Linked DNA regions of Xenopus tropicalis. The protein of the gene in region 2 interacts with the protein of the main gene of each other region in a biochemical or structural test. Links are inferred from orthologs where the notes say so. Each region holds a gene or a part of one and is shown on either strand. Other genes may lie near its edges.

What was found. The genes of interacting proteins can lie anywhere in the genome.
Region 1: the proteins of snta1 (region 2) and rps6ka1 interact in a test that uses a peptide from one of them, tested with the Homo sapiens proteins (2 studies listed by BioGRID and IntAct, with this or other methods). The link is inferred for Xenopus tropicalis from reciprocal best matches to the Homo sapiens genes SNTA1 and RPS6KA1.
Region 3: the proteins of snta1 (region 2) and scn4a interact in a test that uses a peptide from one of them, tested with the Homo sapiens proteins (2 studies listed by BioGRID and IntAct). The link is inferred for Xenopus tropicalis from reciprocal best matches to the Homo sapiens genes SNTA1 and SCN4A.

What each region holds. Positions count from the first base shown.
Region 1 is NC_030678.2:77,647,406-77,653,361, reverse strand, and holds part of rps6ka1 (ribosomal protein S6 kinase alpha-1), read right to left. Parts: intron 4,539-5,956; coding exon 4,459-4,538; intron 4,283-4,458; coding exon 4,176-4,282; intron 1,862-4,175; coding exon 1,824-1,861; intron 1,613-1,823; coding exon 1,470-1,612; intron 1,326-1,469; coding exon 1,255-1,325; intron 610-1,254; coding exon 521-609; intron 427-520; coding exon 362-426; intron 1-361. UniProt on the Homo sapiens protein: Serine/threonine-protein kinase that acts downstream of ERK (MAPK1/ERK2 and MAPK3/ERK1) signaling and mediates mitogenic and stress-induced activation of the transcription factors CREB1, ETV1/ER81 and NR4A1/NUR77, regulates translation through RPS6 and EIF4B phosphorylation, and mediates cellular proliferation, survival, and differentiation by modulating mTOR signaling and repressing pro-apoptotic function of BAD and DAPK1.
Region 2 is NC_030686.2:41,866,832-41,873,302, reverse strand, and holds the start of snta1 (alpha-1-syntrophin), read right to left. Parts: upstream 3,652-6,471; 5' UTR 3,609-3,651; coding exon 3,353-3,608; intron 1-3,352. UniProt on the Homo sapiens protein: Adapter protein that binds to and probably organizes the subcellular localization of a variety of membrane proteins. May link various receptors to the actin cytoskeleton and the extracellular matrix via the dystrophin glycoprotein complex.
Region 3 is NC_030686.2:15,623,939-15,629,894, forward strand, and holds part of scn4a (sodium channel protein type 4 subunit alpha), read right to left. Parts: intron 2,260-5,956; coding exon 1,777-2,259; intron 1,231-1,776; coding exon 1,110-1,230; intron 1-1,109. UniProt on the Homo sapiens protein: Pore-forming subunit of Nav1.4, a voltage-gated sodium (Nav) channel that directly mediates the depolarizing phase of action potentials in excitable membranes.

The DNA.
Region 1 (5,956 bases), on a different chromosome or scaffold from region 2:
CATCTTTTCTTGAGTACATTAGCATAGGTGTGAAAACATGATGGTAAGTATTTTTGTTTTAGAGCAAATATTTATAATTGGTTGCTATGGGAAGCAAACAGTTTTGATTCAAGACTCCACAGAATGATGCCTTGGTTACTTCACCTAATGCAATCAAGTTTATACCAAAACCATGACACTGATACATTTGCAAAGTAAACACATTGCTCAGTTTGTGCTTTTCTCTATTAATTGCTTTCTCCTTATACTTTCAGTAAGCAAGGTTTTAAGATAATAAATATTCTGTCAATCTGAAGGCAATAATAATAATAATTTGCTCTAAGTTATTTGAAAATCATGGTGGCAGTAGAGAAAAACGTACATTCCAATCAATGGTCGAGAAGAAGGGATGGCGCTTAATCTCTTCAGCCCCTTCAACACCAGATCCTGAAAAACATGCCAAAAGAATTATGTTGATGTATATTACTCTTCTCATTTTATGAACAAATAAGTTTATTAGTAGATTGTAATTATTACTTACCTAAACGATTAGTAGGATTCCTTTTGAAGAGAGAGCGTAATAGACCCTGTGCTTCATTGCTAAGAAACTGAGGCATCCCTAGTTTGGCTCTAAGGCAGAAAATTGAAGTGAGCAGGATAAACTACAATACCACTAAAACGAATTTTGATTTAAAAAGAAGGTCTATCTACAAACCAAAGTACAATTTATATATGTTTTTTTTTTTCTTTCCTTTCTTCATGCTACCCATTACTGCAAGGTATTCCTAAATGATTATGTCCCTTGACCGCTATAAGACAGCTTGCCCTCTCCTGCACTTAAAACTGATGAGTTATGTCAACAAATAAATGCAGCTACAGGGGCAAAAGAATACTGAAGTGCCCTCAGTTTGTAAGTTCCAGAATATGCTACTTTGCGAGTACCAACATTATGCTAGAATTCTGGTGGTATTCCTTCCCTGATGTGAATTTTTCTTCATTTGTGCTGTTATAAAAATGGCTATAACATTTTCATAAAGAAATAACTCTTAACTTGCTTTTACTAAGCATTAACTTTGTTGTTCTAGCAGCAGCTCACATTTGATTTTTGAGGATAAGAATTGCTCATTCTGTACCAAATTTTAAGCTACTTTTTAGTTTGCTGACAGTGAAACTTATATACAACTGTGAACATTACAAACCATTCTTTCATATAGTAACTTGTATTTCAGCTATAGTTTTCTACGGACACCCTAGATTTTCCAATTTTCTACTTACTTCAGGATTAGAGTCATGGTTTCCTTACGGTCTTTGCCCTGGAATGGCAGTGATCCTGTCAGCATCTCAAACTGTGAATATGGAAACATTCAGAAATTATTGAAATGGCAAAAATGGAACCAGTAATCTGAAAGAGACTGAAAGAACAGATACCAATAGGAGAAAAGGTAAAATAAATTGTTTTGTGTTTATCTAGATATAAGCAAACAGCTTACCATAAGCACGCCATAAGACCACCAGTCTGCACTGTGCGAATGTCCTTGTCGATTCACTACTTCAGGAGCCATATACTCCACAGTCCCACAAAAAGAATAAGCCTTTTTTTCATGGTCTATTGCCTCTTTACTTAGCCCAAAATCTGATCAGGGTAATGCCAAGTATCCAATTAGATGTTACACAGGTGCACACACAAAAAAAGAGACAGAGAAAATTATGAAGCTTGTTCCAAGTTTGTCAAAAGCCTGCATGTATAGAAGAATGGTCCCAACACAAGAGATTGGTATCAGACAACACCAGGAATCGGAGTGGATACACAGGGATGGGAACACAAACAGTTCACAGAAACATACCAGTAAGCTTTATATGGCCCTCTTCATCCAAGAGAATGCTGCACAGCACAGAGAAAGGCAGATGTTACCACCACGTGCCACTCACAATGATATAAAGTAAACAACTGTGGTATGTATCTTTTTTTTAGTTAACAGCCATCATTTGATGTTAAACCACACCTGTGTTCTTTATGAGGTTCTAAAGGAGAAGGAAAGGCGGTGCCAAAATGTTAGGTACCCCCAAGTGACTTTAAGCGCTTACCTTGTACCCCTGGCTGGTGCCCCTGTTCGGAGAAAACCACACCAGCCCAGGGTACCTGTAGTGAGCAGTTCCGCGTTTGTGCTTGCTCAGTAGAGCGAAAGCCGAACTTTAACAAAAAAGTTGGCTTTTCACTCTAATGCGCATGCTCTGGCCCAGGGATTTTGCCGGCAGAAGAAACACGGAAGGAGGAAGCACTCGCTACAGCTACCCCGGGCTGGTGCGGTTTTCTCCGAACAGGGGCACCAGCCCGGGGTACAAGGTAAGCGATTTAAGTCACTTGGGGGTGCCTAACATTTTGGCAGCCCCAAGTGACTTAGACTTTCCTTCTCCTTTAAGAATAAGTGCAGATAAACTTTTATTGTTGCTTTTATTTAGAAAAAATAAACAATATGCCTGAGCAAAGTACCTATACACCAAACCCCCATATGTCAAAAAAAGGCACTAAGAGCGCCCAGTAGCAGTAACCCCTATAATTTTGGAAACAGTAACAATATTTAATTTCATTTTGTATGTTGAGATAGCATAAGTCAATCTTACCTTTAATCAGTGAAATGGAACTTTTTTTTATTGCACACATGTAAGGATGCTAATTATACTAAGAAAAGTGTTCCATTTCATGCTTAAAGGTAAGATTGACCTATGCCAGTGCTGTCCAACTGCTGGCCAGGAGCCCCCCTCTGTGGCCCCCCCACCTGCCTGACTGTTGTGGCTGCTTTAAATGGTATCATTACTGTGATTAACTGGCCCCTTCCATTGTTCACACCTCAGATTCAGGCTTTAAACCCCTGTGTTATTCACACCTGTCATCTCCATGTATTGTTCACACCTTTTAGTCGCTGCATTATTCACAACAAAGGCTCAAACTGTAAGCACTCACACTGTTCACATCTCAGACAGACTGTAGGAGCAGTAACAGATTGTGTCACTTTATGTTCTCTGCCTGGCCTATGCTGCCTATGTGTGCCATATTCTGCCTGACCTATGCTGCCTGTGTGTGCCATACTCTGCCTGCCCTATGCTGCCTGTGTGTGCCATTCTCTGCCTGCCCTATACTGCCTCTGTGTGTGCCATACACTGCCTGCCCTATACTGCCTCTGTGTGTGCCATACTCTGCTACCCCTATGCTGCCTGTGTGTGCCATACTCTGCTACCCCTATGCTGCCTGTGTGTGCCATACTCTGCCTGACCTATGCTGCCTGTGTGCGCCATACTCTGCCTGCCCTATACTGCCTGTGTGTGTTCCATACACTGCTTGCCCTATGCTGCCTGTGTGTGCCATACTCTGCTTGCCCTATGCTGCCTGTGTGTGCCATACTCTGCCTGCCCTATGCTGCCTGTGTGTGCCATTCTCTGCCTGCCCTATACTGCCTCTGTGTGTGCCATACACTGCCTGCCCTATGCTGCCTGTGGGAGGTAAACCTGGCAGAGGTTTGTTCTGGGAGTATTTGGAACTAGTCATTATATGGAACCTATGGTGTGTAATTATGTGCTGGGGGTTGCTATGTTATCCACAGGGGAAGCATATGTCTTAATATTAGGGATGCACCGAACCCAGTTTTTTGGATTCAGCCGAACCCCAAGCCAAATCCTAATTAGCATATGCTAATTAGGATCTGAAAGTGGTAAAACTCGGGGTGCATGTGCGCAGCGGGAAAATATTTTCCCCCTAACATTTGTACTTTCAAGTGCTAATTATCATATGCTAATTTATGTGAATTAGGATTCAGTTCGGCCAGGACCATGGATTCGGCCCGAAACAGAAACCTGCCAAAAAATACTGAATTGAATCCTGGATTCGGTGCATAAACTTCTTTTACATATGAAAAAAGGGTGATTTCCCTACAGTAAGCACCAATCATTTTGGTTTTTCCTGCACTGCCACCATTAATTTGGGTATGGTCTTAAAAGCACTTGTGATTACATGGGTGTGGCTTAAAGTGGACGCAGTTTAAAAAAGGGGGTGGCCTAAATTGGCTTCCATTATTGGCCCTTCACCATGTACAATACCACATAAATTGGACAGCACTGACCTACACTATCTCAACACACATGCAGTCAAACCAACAGTGCAGTGCAGTCAAACTGCCTTAATGCCTGGCTCACCAACATACTTTTCAGGTTTTAGGTCACGGTAGATGATCCCTAAGCTGTGCAAATGATCAAGACCCAAAGCCAGTTCCGCTAGGTAAAACTTCACATCTTCTTCTGTGAACATTACCTATATTAAAAATACATTTAAATTAATTCACATAAGTAATTCTTACATAATCCCAAAGCATTATTATTTTTATATATAGTAGAAAGGGAAAATTCCAGGGGTCACAGCGTTGAATTGTTGAAGAGTGGTTTAAATTCAGATCAAAGTAAAGGGAAAAATTCATTTCTAATACCAACCTCCTTGGACAGACGTGTAAATAGATCTCCTCCCCGTAGAAAATCCAGGATTAAGTAAAGTTTCCCCTCTGTCTGAAAAGCTATATGTAGAATATATGAAAGATTAATTAAAGTTTAATTATTTGCATATACACACTTGCAAGAACCATGTAGTACTGCTCAGTTTTAACTATCAGTTTGGGGTAAGCTGTATTCTGCAGCAAGGCTGACAAAAGAATTTAAAAACCTGCTTTTCATCTAACTTATCTCCACCACCATGGTGAGTTATGCACAGATAGAAAGTGTTGCAGTGTCTGATTACAGTAGAGGGGAGCATTCAGAGAAACCGTGTCTTAAAGGAAACCTATACCCCCAAACAAAGTAGGTCTCTATAAATATATATTGCATAAACAAGCTTATATGTAAAACCCTGCTTCATCTAAATGAACCATTTTCATAACAATATACTTTTTAGTAGTATGTGCTATTGGGTAATGCGAAATAGAAAATTAAAATTTTAAGAATTAAGAGCCGCCTCTTGGGATCATAGGAGTCACAGTGCACACAAACAAGCCAAGGAACACATACATGTTAGGTTATATCAGCAAATGAATGGGCAGAGCTCTGCTTTTGCTTCCACACTACTTCCTGTTACAGTTAGAGCTACATTATTTCCTGTCAGGTGATCTCTGAGGCAGCACAAAGCCCATCACTAAATGGTGGATCAAGCTAGTGCTGGGCGGTATACCGGTAAAAACCGATCACCGGTTTTTTTTTTGAAACCGATATGAATTTTCGACATACCCCCATACCGGTGTGCTGAATACTTCCGGGTGCGCGCGTGACGTCAGCGCGCACACTCTACAAAAGCGCCATCGCTAGGACGCATTCAGAGTCGGATACCAATGTGAGCTGTCGGGGGGTGCCTGGCCAGTAATTATATTTTATGTGAAGGGGATGGGTGGGGGTGGGTGGGTTATACTTATGTGAAGGGGATGGGGTTATGTTTGGGGGGGTGGGATGGGGTGGGGGGTTATATTTATGTGAAGGGGATGGGGGGGTGTTTGGGGTGGGGGTGGGTGGGTTATACTTATGTGAAGGGGATGGGGTTATGTTTGGGGGGGGTGGGATGGGGTGGGGGGTTATATTTATGTGAAGGGGATGGGGGGGTGTTTGGGGTGGGGGTGGGTGGGTTATACTTATGTGAAGGGGATGGGGTTGTGTTTGGGGGGGGTGGGATGGGGTGGGGGGTTATATTTATGTGAAGGGGATGGGGGGGTGTTTGGGGTGGGGGTGGGTGGGTTATACTTATGTGAAGGGGATGGGGTTGTGTTTGGGGGGGGTGGGATGGGGTGGGGGGTTATATTTATGTGAAGGGGATGGGGGGGTGTTTGGGGTGGGGGTGGGTGGGTTATACTTATGTGAAGGGGATGGGGTTGTGTTTGGGGGGGGTGGGATGGGGTGGGGGGTTATATTTATGTGAAGGGGATGGGGGGGTGTTTGGGGTGGGGGTGGGTGG
Region 2 (6,471 bases):
ACCCTAAATAGCGCCTCAGGGGACCTGCTGGGAGAGAACGGTATCAATATGCCAATGCAGTCATCACCTGATTTTTTAACCAGCTGATCTGCAGGCAGATATTGGTTGGGCAGGTTTTCATTCACCATTCACAGGCCAATACATTTTTCCTGCAACTCTCTGCCCCAGGATACTGTGAGTCCTTGATCATTTCCTACAAGCGGCTGACCCTTTAGAAAGACAGCAACAGGCTTCAGCTAAATCTGACATGCAAGCCGCTGCTATTTTAGGATTAGCAGTTATGTGACAGAGTAAGGCTGAGTGAGCAGCCCGCCACAAACGGAGTCCGGACCCTCCATTTTTCCAACAAAAACATTCAGCGTTCAGACTTTGCCTATAATGCCAATGCAATAAAACCAGAACAAAATTAATTTCAAGCTTAACTTCCCCTTTAAAAGTCTTAAGAAGTTCCAAAATGCAAGATTCCTATAATATTCTGGTACATGAATATACACTATATCATGTCCCTTAAATTTCCCACGCTCCTTTGTGCTGCAGGGAGAGTAGGTGTTGGGGGGCAGGGAGGAAAGGCAGTCCCGGCAGTGTCCCCCCTCCCAAACAAACCAATATAACAGCATGGGACATTCCTCAGCCAATAAGAGAGAGGGAGATGTTCTATTTTAATGCCTGCAAGTATTTTGTCCCTTGGAACTGAGGCAGTGACCCCTATGTCCCTCTTACTGTTTCCTAAAGCCTTTAGTTGCAATCACGTTGCCCTGTTTGTGACGGGGGGAGCCCAGAGTGATTCTGATTGTGTGAGAAGTTTGGTTGCAGTCTGACAGAACTGGGAACTTGGGGCCCCATTTAGCAGATCAGAAGCCATTTTCCCAGGAGCCTCCTCTTCCTGCTGCTGTGGGGCCTATGAGATAAGCCGCACTGTGATTGTGGCTGGACACTTGCCTCACTGGGCAGGAATGTGGCGCAGTTGTTGGTGTGTGAGTGTTTAGGTGCCTATCAGTTTACTAGTGCCGCAGTGTGTTTGGCTCTGGGTGTGTGTGTGGGCAAGCCAAGGGGGGAGAGTAAGGCTAGGGGAGCCCAGGACAAAATATTCTGTGTGGGTCCAATTAGGTATAATACAACCTGAAGCCCTTCAGCTCTTACTGCAAGTTCCAGCCTCCCCCCTATAAACATGTTGCAATAGCTAGAGTTGGAGGCTGGCCAGATAGAAAGTGCTACTGACACATGGGGGCAAACTATGCCAGCGTCACTATTTCAGCCCAGTGGTAACGCAACTCTACAAAGGCAGGAAAGGGCAGCCATGAATGAGAGTGACAGGGGGCACTGATGTACAGACGCAGGGCTGGGGCACTGCCAGCAACAGTCACGGGACATATAGGGCAATAATTGGCACCATCATTTACATGTAAGCTGGATAGGGAGTTGGGCACCGAGGCAAGGGGCATTGGCTTAGTCAGAAAGAGGCACAGTTTGGCACAAATAATGAGAGATGGGCATATTAAGCTGGCAGGCATTAATAGCATAGTGAGAGTTGGGCATGAAATCCCAAGGGAACTGAGGTAGTAGCTTTGGCACTGCCAGAGAGACACATTATTATGGCACAATGAGGTGAGGGCACAGTGAGAGGTCTGAATAATAATAAGAGTGACAGGAATGCCAAGTTAGAGTTATACACAACAACATGGTAGGCTGGGATGCCGCCTTGAGATTTGGCATGCACACTAGAATGAGGTGGATAGAAATGCCACACAGAGCTGGGCAACATAATGAGCACTGGTTGGCACAAAATGACAGGCTTAACCATAATGAAGGTGGGTGCATTTCTTGGGTACTGAGGGAAATCTAGGCACTATAATAGGGGCAATAAGTGATGCCACAGTGAAAGCAGAACACTGAACTGGGCTACTTAGTAATGCCAAAGTAAAATGTGGGCACAGTATCGGGGTATTAGCCAGAAATGCCCTAGAAAAAGGTGGGCAGGGAGTTTATTGTACCAAAGTAGTGAGTAATGCCAGTATGAAAGCTGGGCACTGTAGCACTGCACTGGGAGGGTTAATACTGCCGGAGGGAAAGTTGGGCACTGCATACTTTGTAATTGTGCCCTGGACACTATTTTGGGCTAATGTCAGTGTGGAAGCTGGGCGCTATAGCAGGGTACAATGGTCAAATGCCCTACACAGAGCTGGACCATGGTTGTTATGCCACTGTGGAACTTGGCACTATCATAGAGTACTAAGTAGGAATGCCCTCAACTGGGCACTACATTAGTTAATATTAACAGTGCTGGGCACTATAGCAGGGTAGTTAGTAATGCCAGTAGGAAAGCAGGGCATAGTAGCAGGGCACTGGAATGCCATACCGTTAGGGGGCTAGTTAGTAGTCATTGTAAGATTGGTTACTGGTGAGGAATTCCCAGGAGAAGGAGAGGGGGGCACAGTCAGTTAATGCCTGTGTAGGACTTGGCATGATAGCAGGGTAGTTAGTAAAGCCAGTGGGCACCATAGCAGGGAGTTAGTAAAGCCAGTGGGCACCATAGCAGGGAGTTAGTAAAGCCAGTGGGCACCATAGCAGGGAGTAAGTAAAGCCAGTGGGCACCATAGCAGGGAGTTAGTAATGCCAGTGGGCACCATAGCAGGGAGTTAGTAAAGCCAGTGGGCACCATAGCAGGGAGTTAGTAAAGCCAGTGGGCACCATAGCAGGGAGTTAGTAATGCCAGTGGGCACCATAGCAGGGAGTTAGTAAAGCCAGTGGGCACCATAGCAGGGAGTTAGTAAAGCCAGTGGGCACCATAGCAGGGAGTTAGTAATGCCAGTGGGCACCATAGCAGGGAGTTAGTAAAGCCAGTGGGCACCATAGCAGGGAGTTAGTAAGCCAGTGGGCACCATAGCAGGGAGTTAGTAATGCCAGTGGGCACCATAGCAGGGAGTTAGTAAAGCCAGTGGGCACCATAGCAGGGAGTTAGTAAAGCCAGTGGGCACCATAGCAGGGAGTTAGTAATGCCAGTGGGCACCATAGCAGGGAGTTAGTAAAGCCAGTGGGCACCATAGCAGGGAGTTAGTAAAGCCAGTGGGCACCATAGCAGGGAGTTAGTAATGCCAGTGGGCACCATAGCAGGGAGTTAGTAATGCCAGTGGGCACCATAGCAGGGAGTTAGTAATGCCAGTGGGCACCATAGCAGGGAGTTAGTAATGCCAGTGGGCACCATAGCAGGGAGTTAGTAATGCCAGTGGGCACCATAGCAGGGAGTTAGTAATGCCAGTGGGCACCATAGCAGGGAGTTAGTAATGCCAGTGGGCACCATAGCAGGGAGTTAGCCCAGGAGAGAAGGAAGGTGGGCTCCGAGCAGGGTACTTACCCTTGATGCTGACCCCCAGCCCCCCCGCATCCTGCTTGAGCACCCTGACAGTCCGGCGCAGGTTAATGAGAGACTCCGGGACCCCCCCCGCCGGCTCCGCGCCGTTCAGCGCCTTCTCCTCCGCTGCCCCGGGCTCCGGCTCCGGGGTGAAAGTCACAGTCTCCTCTCCGAGCAGCAGCAGTACCCGCACCCAGCGCTCCCCGGGACAGCGCAGCTCCAGCAGCCCGCTCCGGTGAGCCGTGCCCGGGGAAGCCATGGCCAGAGTGCCCGGACAGGGATAGAGGGAGGGGAGGGAGGGGGAGTGAGAGCGCCTCCCCGGGCTGGGGCTGCACATGTGGGACCGCCCTGCCCAGTCCTGTGCCCACTAAGTGCCACTCTGCCTCCCCTCACTCAGTCCTGTGCCCACTAAGTGCCACTCTGCCTCCCCTCACTCAGTCCTGTGCCCACTAAGTGCCACTCTGCCTCCCCTCACCCAGTCCTGTGCCCACTAAGTGCCACTCTGCCTCCCCTCACCCAGTCCTGTGCCCACTAAGTGCCACTCTGCCTCCCCTCACCCAGTCCTGTGCCCACTAAGTGCCACTCTGCCTCCCCTCACCCAGTCCTGTGCCCACTAAGTGCCACTCTGCCTCCCCTCACCCAGTCCTGTGCCCACTAAGTGCCACTCTGCCTCCCCTCACCCAGTCCTGTGCCCACTAAGTGCCACTCTGCCTCCCCTCACTCAGTCCTGTGCCCACTAAGTGCCACTCTGCATCCCCTCACCCAGTCCTGTGCCCACTAAATGCCACTCTGCCTCCCCTCACCCAGTCCTGTGCCCACTAAATACATCCCGTCATACTGCCCGACATACGGTGCCAACCTGTGCCCTCCTGTACCTGCTGTATAATGTCAGTACTGCCCACTACTCCCTGCCTACCTCAACACTCTGCCCACTACTCCCTGCCTACCTCAACACTCTGCCCACTACTCCCTGCCTACCTCAATACTCTGCCCACTACTCCCTGCCTACCTCTATATTCTGCCCACTACTCCCTGCCTACTTCAATACTCTGCCCACTACTCCCTGCCTCTATATTCTGCCCACTACTCCCTGCCTACCTCAACACTCTGCCCACTACTCCTGCCTCTATATTCTGCCCACTACTCCCTGCCTACCTCTATATTCTGCCCACTACTCCCTGCCTACCTCTATATTCTGCCCACTACTCCCTGCCTCTAAATTCTGCCCACTACTCCCTGCCTACCTCTATATTCTGCCCACTACTCCTGCCTACCTCTATATTCTGCCCACTACTCCCTGCCTACCTCTATATTCTGCCCACTACTCCCTGCCTACCTCTATATTCTGCCCACTACTCCCTGCCTACTTCAATACTCTGCCCACTACTCCCTGCCTCTATATTCTGCCCACTACTCCCTGCCTACCTCAACACTCTGCCCACTACTCCCTGCCTCTATATTCTGCCCACTACTCCCTGCCTACCTCTATATTCTGCCCACTACTCCCTGCCTACCTCTATATTCTGCCCACTACTCCCTGCCTACCTCTATATTCTGCCCACTACTCCCTGCCTACCTCAATACTCTGCCCACTACTCCCTGCCTACCTCTATATTCTGCCCACTACTCCCTGCCTACCTCAATACTCTGCCCACTACTCCCTGCCTACCTCTATATTCTGCCCACTACTGCCTGCCTACCTCTATATTCTGCCCACTACTCCCTGCCTCTATATTCTGCCCACTACTCCCTGCCTACCTCTATATTCTGCCCACTACTCCCTGCCTACCTCTATATTCTGCCCACTACTCCCTGCCTACCTCTATATTCTGCCCACTACTCCCTGCCTACTTCAATACTCTGCCCACTACTCCCTGCCTCTATATTCTGCCCACTACTCCCTGCCTACCTCAACACTCTGCCCACTACTCCCTGCCTCTATATTCTGCCCACTACTCCCTGGCTCTAAATTCTGCCCACTACTCCCTGCCTACCTCTATATTCTGCCCACTACTCCCTGCCTACCTCTATATTCTGCCCACTACTCCCTGCCTACCTCTATATTCTGCCCACTACTCCCTGCCTACCTCTATATTCTGCCCACTACTCCCTGCCTCTAAATTCTGCCCACTACTCCCTGCCTCTATATTCTACTAACTTCCTCTATATTCAATGACCATCTCTGAATAATGCCAACCTCTGCCCTCCTGTACCTATATGAGTGTCACTATACGCTGACCACCTCTATATACTTCCTATTAACCCCTGCCCATCTGCCCATTACTATATACTTTCCATCACTGCCCTTTCCTGCCCCCGGTGCCCAATACACACTGACCATCTTCCTGCACTTCCCTCACCCAATGCCCCAGTATATCCTTGCCATCCTTTACCTTGTTACAAGCCTATAACCATGTTCAGCCTGTGCCATCTAGCACATAGGTTATTCTGTGCTTCAGGGTTGGGCTGAGTAAGGATCCTGGGTGCCAGTAACTGGCTCTCCCTTGCTATACAGTGTTGGGGTTCAAGCCCCCCATAGGCTTCCCTATACCCATGTGTGCACTCTTCTGTGCCGCTGATAATTATATTGCAGTTAATAAGCTCTATACCTCACCAGCAAGCTTATGCTGCCCCCCTCTGCCCGTGTGTGGGTAGTGCCATGCTGCTTCTGCTCAGAGCAGGCACCCTTTGGCGGCCCATGTGACACCCTACACTAGGTGCTGTCATTCACTTGAAATAGTAACAGGGAGATTGTTGGGGAAGTCAGGCAATGCAAGACCAGGGCACAAGTTCAGCTCTGCCATAAGAATCAATGCCTGGTTACTGGGTACTGGGAGTTGCAATGTAACATCCATTGGGAGTCCCGCGAGGATAAAGTGAATAAGCCCCACAAATCACATGCACTTGCAAACCCCTGTGCCTCTCAACCTCTATGTTTACACCAGGGGGTACATTATTCTCTCTATATACACTAATGGGGTCATGTGATAATCCAGATCAATCAATTAGCCAGCAGGTAACATTTTCTGGCCAGCTTCTTTGAAGCAAACACTTGATTGGTTGCTTTGGGTTACAAGGCCTGGGACACGTTCTGCAGGCTGCAGCTGCTAATACATTGCCCC
Region 3 (5,956 bases), about 26 Mb from region 2:
ACATGCAGCTATGGCCTCTATAGATAGACGTACTTTACACAGTTCACTGAATTATATTACCTGCATGTCTCAACCCTGTGCTTTTATATAGTCACAGAACCACTCAGAGTTCCCTGTATAACTCAGCCTGCAGCCTTGTGCCTTTATATGGGCACAGAACCCCTCAGTGACTGCTAATATCCTTATCATTTACAGTAGGGGGTACATTATCCCTTATAATACATGAGTGATACTCAGAGCTCCCTGTATAACTCAGCCTGCAGCCTTGTGCCTTTATATGGGCACAGAACCCCTCAGTGACTGCTAATATCCTTATCATTTACAGTAGGGGGTACATTATCCCTTATAATACATGAGTGATACTCAGAGTACCCTGTATAACTCAGCCTGCAGCCTTGTGCCTTTATATGGGCACAGAACCCCTCAGTGACTGCTAATATCCTTATCATTTACAGTAGGGGGTACATTATCCCATATAATACATGAGTGATACTCAGAGTTCCCTGTATAACTCAGCCTGCAGCCTTGTGCCTTTATATGGGCACAGAACCCCTCAGTGACTTCTAATATCCTTATAATTTACAGTAGGGGTAAATTATCCCTTATAATACATGAGTGATACTCAGAGTTCCCTGTATAACTCAGCCTGCAGCTTTGTGCCTTTATATGGTCACAGAACCCCTCAGTGACTTCTAATATCCTTATCCTTTACAGTAGGGGGTACATTATCCCTTATAATACATGAATGATACTCAGAGTTCCCTGTATAACTCAGCCTCACCTCACTTTAGAGGAGATCTCTTTTATTTTAGAACAACTGTTAGCCAGCTTGATGCTGGCCACGCCAACAAAAAAGAAGAAAATTTGGAAATGGGAGAGCAACCACTTGTTACTAAGTTTATACAAACAGAGTATTTTTAAATAGTAGAAGCTGTAGTTCACTCCTTAGTGACGTTTTTGGTCTGACTTTGTCATGTATTGGCAAGTTTTATTCTTGCCTCTCTGTATTACTTGAAATGTAGCGACTACTGCTTAACTGTAGCAGATCTCACATTTCATAATAATATCCCTTTGTGTACACAGAATGGAAGTTTTACTTTTCTCCATACCAGCAGTAAAGCATTCTTCTGGGCCTTCGTCTTCTTTGTGTTCAAAGGCCTCCTCTTCCTCTTCAGGTTCAGGAGGTTTATAATCTGCTGTGCTACACACTGACGAGCCATCATCGTACTTCTGATGCGGAAAAAGAAATGTCATCAATGTCACACTGCATGTTTTATAAATACAGGTCAAAGGACTTTAGTCCAACCCAGACAAGACCCCACTTAATTGAGAGTTTTTCAGTGAGTGCATAGGGTGAGATGGACTCTAGGACAAAAGTCATAATTTTATATAAAAGGCCAAGGTAGTTTTACAAAAAAAGTGTCTATAGTAACAATATTTTTTCCCCCACAGCATAAAATATAGAGTTTCTCCAAAAAACTTTAAACTTATAACTTGTATAAAGTGGACTTCTTTGGGATCTAGCCAATGGGTATTAAGATAATGAGCACCATTTCTAGTAAAAAAAAAAAAAAAGATGCCTACACCAGTCAGGTTTGGTCTAAACCATGACAATCAGTGAACTTCTATACCTATCCTGGAGAAATACAGGGAGGTGAAAGATACATGAAACTATTTTCTTCTTATCTCTGTGATGGGAACACAGGTTATAAACAAGCAGGTCATGTCCTGATACTGAAGAACATTACATTTCACAAGTATGCATTGTATTCATACCTTGTGGTGTAAAATCCCTTCCTCTACCTCCGACTGTGTGCTAAACTCATCCGTGTCTGGAATGTCGAAGTCGGACTCTTCTGAGGCAATAGGTACTTCTATTCTCATGTGTGGGTTGTTAAAAAAATTAGCGTGGTCAAACTCATCCATGTAATAACGTTTTTTAGTCACGCCATCAATCAGTGGAGGTTCTTTTTTGGGTTCTGGTTCTGTCCTGGGTTCTAGTTCTATCTTGGGTTCTGGTTCTGTCTCTACATGGTTCAGAGCAATGTTTTCTTTGTTAGGGTCCTCTTCCTCCTGCTCAGCTTTTGCCTTCCTCTTGTAATGTAGGATGGAGAAGAAGGTTTTCTTCACAAAGTCAATGCCCCTGGTGATCCTTCCGATGGCGATCTGCAGGTTGTTCATCTCCCCATCGTCGTCCGAAGCCGACAAGTTATCCGCGCTGAAGGAACTCAGCAACAAAGCCAAAAAGAGATTGAGGACCTAAAGAAAAGTATTGGGCAGTGTCATTAAATGAAGGCAAATTTACTAATAAAAGAATCTTGGTGTTTCCATCCTGATATTGACAACTATTTCCCTGTTTCCAGTTTGATCAGGTGCTTTATTGAGAGGCAGGCCGCCCCAGCCCAGGGACACACGCAGCCCAAATTTCACACATTCAGAGGGATCAAATAACCATAGATTGTATGAAAGGAAGTTTGGATTTATTACTGATGGTACACATTCTCCTCTCCTGAAATTTCATACTCTCAATGCACAAGAAGCTTCTCAACAGCCAGAAAAGATTTGTAGGGGTATAAAAAATGTATTGGATCCTACCCTACAAGTGTTTTTCCTGTTACTTCTCCCATGCATGCTGAGGGCATTTGTATCAGCATTTAAGACTGAGAGTTAATGTATTAGGATAAGCCCTATAGGTAAATCTGAATATGGTTTTAAAATAGAAACGTAAATGAAGTGAAATAAATATACATGCACACGATAAAGGAGAAAATACATCAGTTTGCTAACAGGGGGGTGCAAAGGCGGGTTCACTAATAGGTGTATTATTTCAGCCATACTTTTAACCTAGGCCCTAGGCCTCCCAAATGAATACTGCTGCCTGCTTTTGGCAGCACTGTAGTCATAAGGGCATACCTCCCAACATTTCATTAAGAGAAAGAGGCACAAAAATATGTGACGTGGGTAGTGTGGCAAATTTTTTTGGCCACGCCTGCTTTGTGACCACGCCCCACATGCAACACCCACTTTACATGCCCCAGATGTGCCAGTATAATCACTAAATAAAAGGACAAATTAACTTCAAATGTGCCAGTATGACTACATTAAATTGATAAAGGGCATATTAACCCCAGACATCCCAGTTAAATTACTACATGAAATTGATAGAGGGCATATCAACTTCAGACATGCCAACAGTTCTGTGCATTTGCCAAAGTTATAAACAGGGCCAATTCCAGTGGTACATAAATCTATGTTATTTCCTTCCATTCTTAATCAGTTGAAAGCAATACAATATTAATGTACCACTAGAATTTCTAGCCATATTATCAAGGCCAGCCTAAGGTTCCCAAACTTATAAGGGCCCTTTTTAAATGTCTGCTATATTTTGTGAACGGATCAGCGATACCTCTGTCTCCTATTCCCCTGCATGCTGTGCTCTGCCAGAGATTCACAGGAGTGAGAGAGATATGTTAGGGGTGGGAAGGTGAAACTGCCCAGCACACAAATAAAGGCAGCAGCCTCTTCTGCCTGATAAAAGACAGAGCCCCCCTCAGCCCCTGACCCAGTGAGCAGGAGCAAGGAGAGGAATGCAGCCAATGCTGATAGTTGGCCCTTGCCTGTCACAAATGCTCCTCCCAGATCAAGGTAAACCTGTGAGCTTGAGGTAGCAGGGAAGATTCAAGAGTTAAGGGGGCAGGCTTTTTTTCCCAGAGCAGAGCAGGCACAGCAATCAATTAAATGGCAATGCTGAGAAGCGGGACATCCAACAATAAATCTGGGACAGCGGGAAGTGCTATAATATCGGGACTGTCCCGCTAAAAGCGGGACGGTTGGGAGGTATTAAGGGGCTAGCCGAGAGAGCCATGAAGGCATTCCGTATCCCACAAGCTGCACTCAAATTCCTTGCTAAAAATGCTCTGAGCTGCAAAGATTGGCACCTGGCAGTGACTGGCACAAAACATGGGGGGCTAGGTTCATTGTAACAAATATTCACCTTCTTTTTGCACTTTGCACCTTTTCCCTGTTCGCAAATAAAACCTTAATAAATCTTAAATGGAAAAAATCCTGTGTGTATGAAGCCCTTGTAAACTGCTTGTGTGATGCCCCCCAGTAGTGCCAACAGCACATCTGAAAACAATAACCAGCTCTTAGTGGTACCGCTCAGAGCATGTAAATAGAACCTTTACACTGACATCTTGTCTCCCATTTGTTTAATACTGCAGTTAGGTACCCAGACACTCGCTTTTGGATTTCTATTTTCTGACAGGATTACTAAGCTACTTGAGTTGCTTCCTCTTAATGTCCTGTTTTAGCCTTAAAGGAATTCTGGAGGAAATAGCATTGGGCCTATATTTGTACGTGACAAACAGCATGTGCTTTGGAGCTGTGTTATTGGCATGGAACACGTTTGAAAACAACAACAAATAAGCCCCATTCTTCCTGTAGTTCTGGTTTATAAAAACGGGGGCAGAAGAGGCACAGTGTGTGATTAAAGCTTGAACATTTGGTCCAATTATCTTTGGCAATACTTTATAAATAGCAGCCTCTTAAGACTTTATATTGCATGAAATTACTGTGAGTTTGTAGAGATCAGATTCATACAAGCTACAGCTTTTTTGGCTTGGCTGTTCCATGTCTCTAGTCAGTGTTTCCATGTAGGCCATGCTTCCAATAATGGCAACTCAACGTCTTGCTAGGCCATACCCTAAAGAGCCACATTCAAACTGAAAAAGTGTTGGGGAGCAACACAAGCATAAGAAAGTTTCCTGGGGGTGCCAATAAGAGCTATAATTGGCTACTTAATAGCCCCTATGTGGACTGGCAGCCTACAGAAGGCTCTGTTTGGCATTATACTTGGCTTTTATGCAACCATAACTTGCCTCCAAGCCAGAAATTCAAGAATGAGCATCTGCTTTGAGGCCTCTGGGAGCAACATCCAAGGGGTTGGGGAGCAACAAGATTGACTGGAGAGTTTTGGAAAGGGAAAAAGTGGATAATGGGAGAGTGGAAGGCATGATGTATCTCTATGCAATATATGTATGCAGCATTAAAAAGCCTTTTTTTAAAGTAAAGAGCAGGTGTGCAATATGAAGATCATTATATAGTCTAAGAAGAATTATCGAAGAGTGAAACAAAATGGTAGATCCTCCAGCAAAGTATGATAAGCCAGATATTGGACTAACAAGTGAATGCCTGAGCTGTACTGATCTCTGGGGCATCTACCCAATGATCAGATCATGGTTTGTGTTGGAAATTTGGCTATCAGTGTGTAGGTAAACTTGGCCAACCTTTGTTTTGGTTGTCAGATGTAGAGAAATAAACACTGCTTCTAATTGGAAATTTATGTTGGAAATTTGGCTACCAGTGTGGAGGTAAATTTGGCCAACCCTCTTTTTGGTTGTCGGATGTAAAGAAATAAACACTGCTTCTAATTTCGCCACATACTTCTGTAACACAAAGACCCTTTGCCATACTTACAAAATAAACTTTTGAGATACATGTGTCCGCTTGCACTTGACATAATCTGTGGGCTGTTAACATTCAGCTGACTAATGCTTGCCAAAAGCACGCCAACTGTCCTTGAGCATGATAATGTCATTATTGTCACAGAAGTTGCTAACTGGGAATGTCAAAAGTGCTTAATTTAGTAGGCTATGAGCACAATCATTTCCTTTAATGAAATATAGGAGAAAGCAATATTTAGTGACTGCCACAACTGTTGCACCTTGTAGAATCCCTACCTTAACTACACATGCTCAGCATACAGGGTGCGAGTTTGTGTGCAACTGGATTCATTATCTACTAGGGTGAATACTTATTTGCTTTTATATTAATTATTTAGAGACAGGTAGCTCAATGACTAATGCATTCCATCCTAAAAGTGTCAAAGCTGGCCATTCACGTTCAGATTTTAGTCTTTTTCCAACAAACGTTCGGATATCGGTCGTATGCTTAA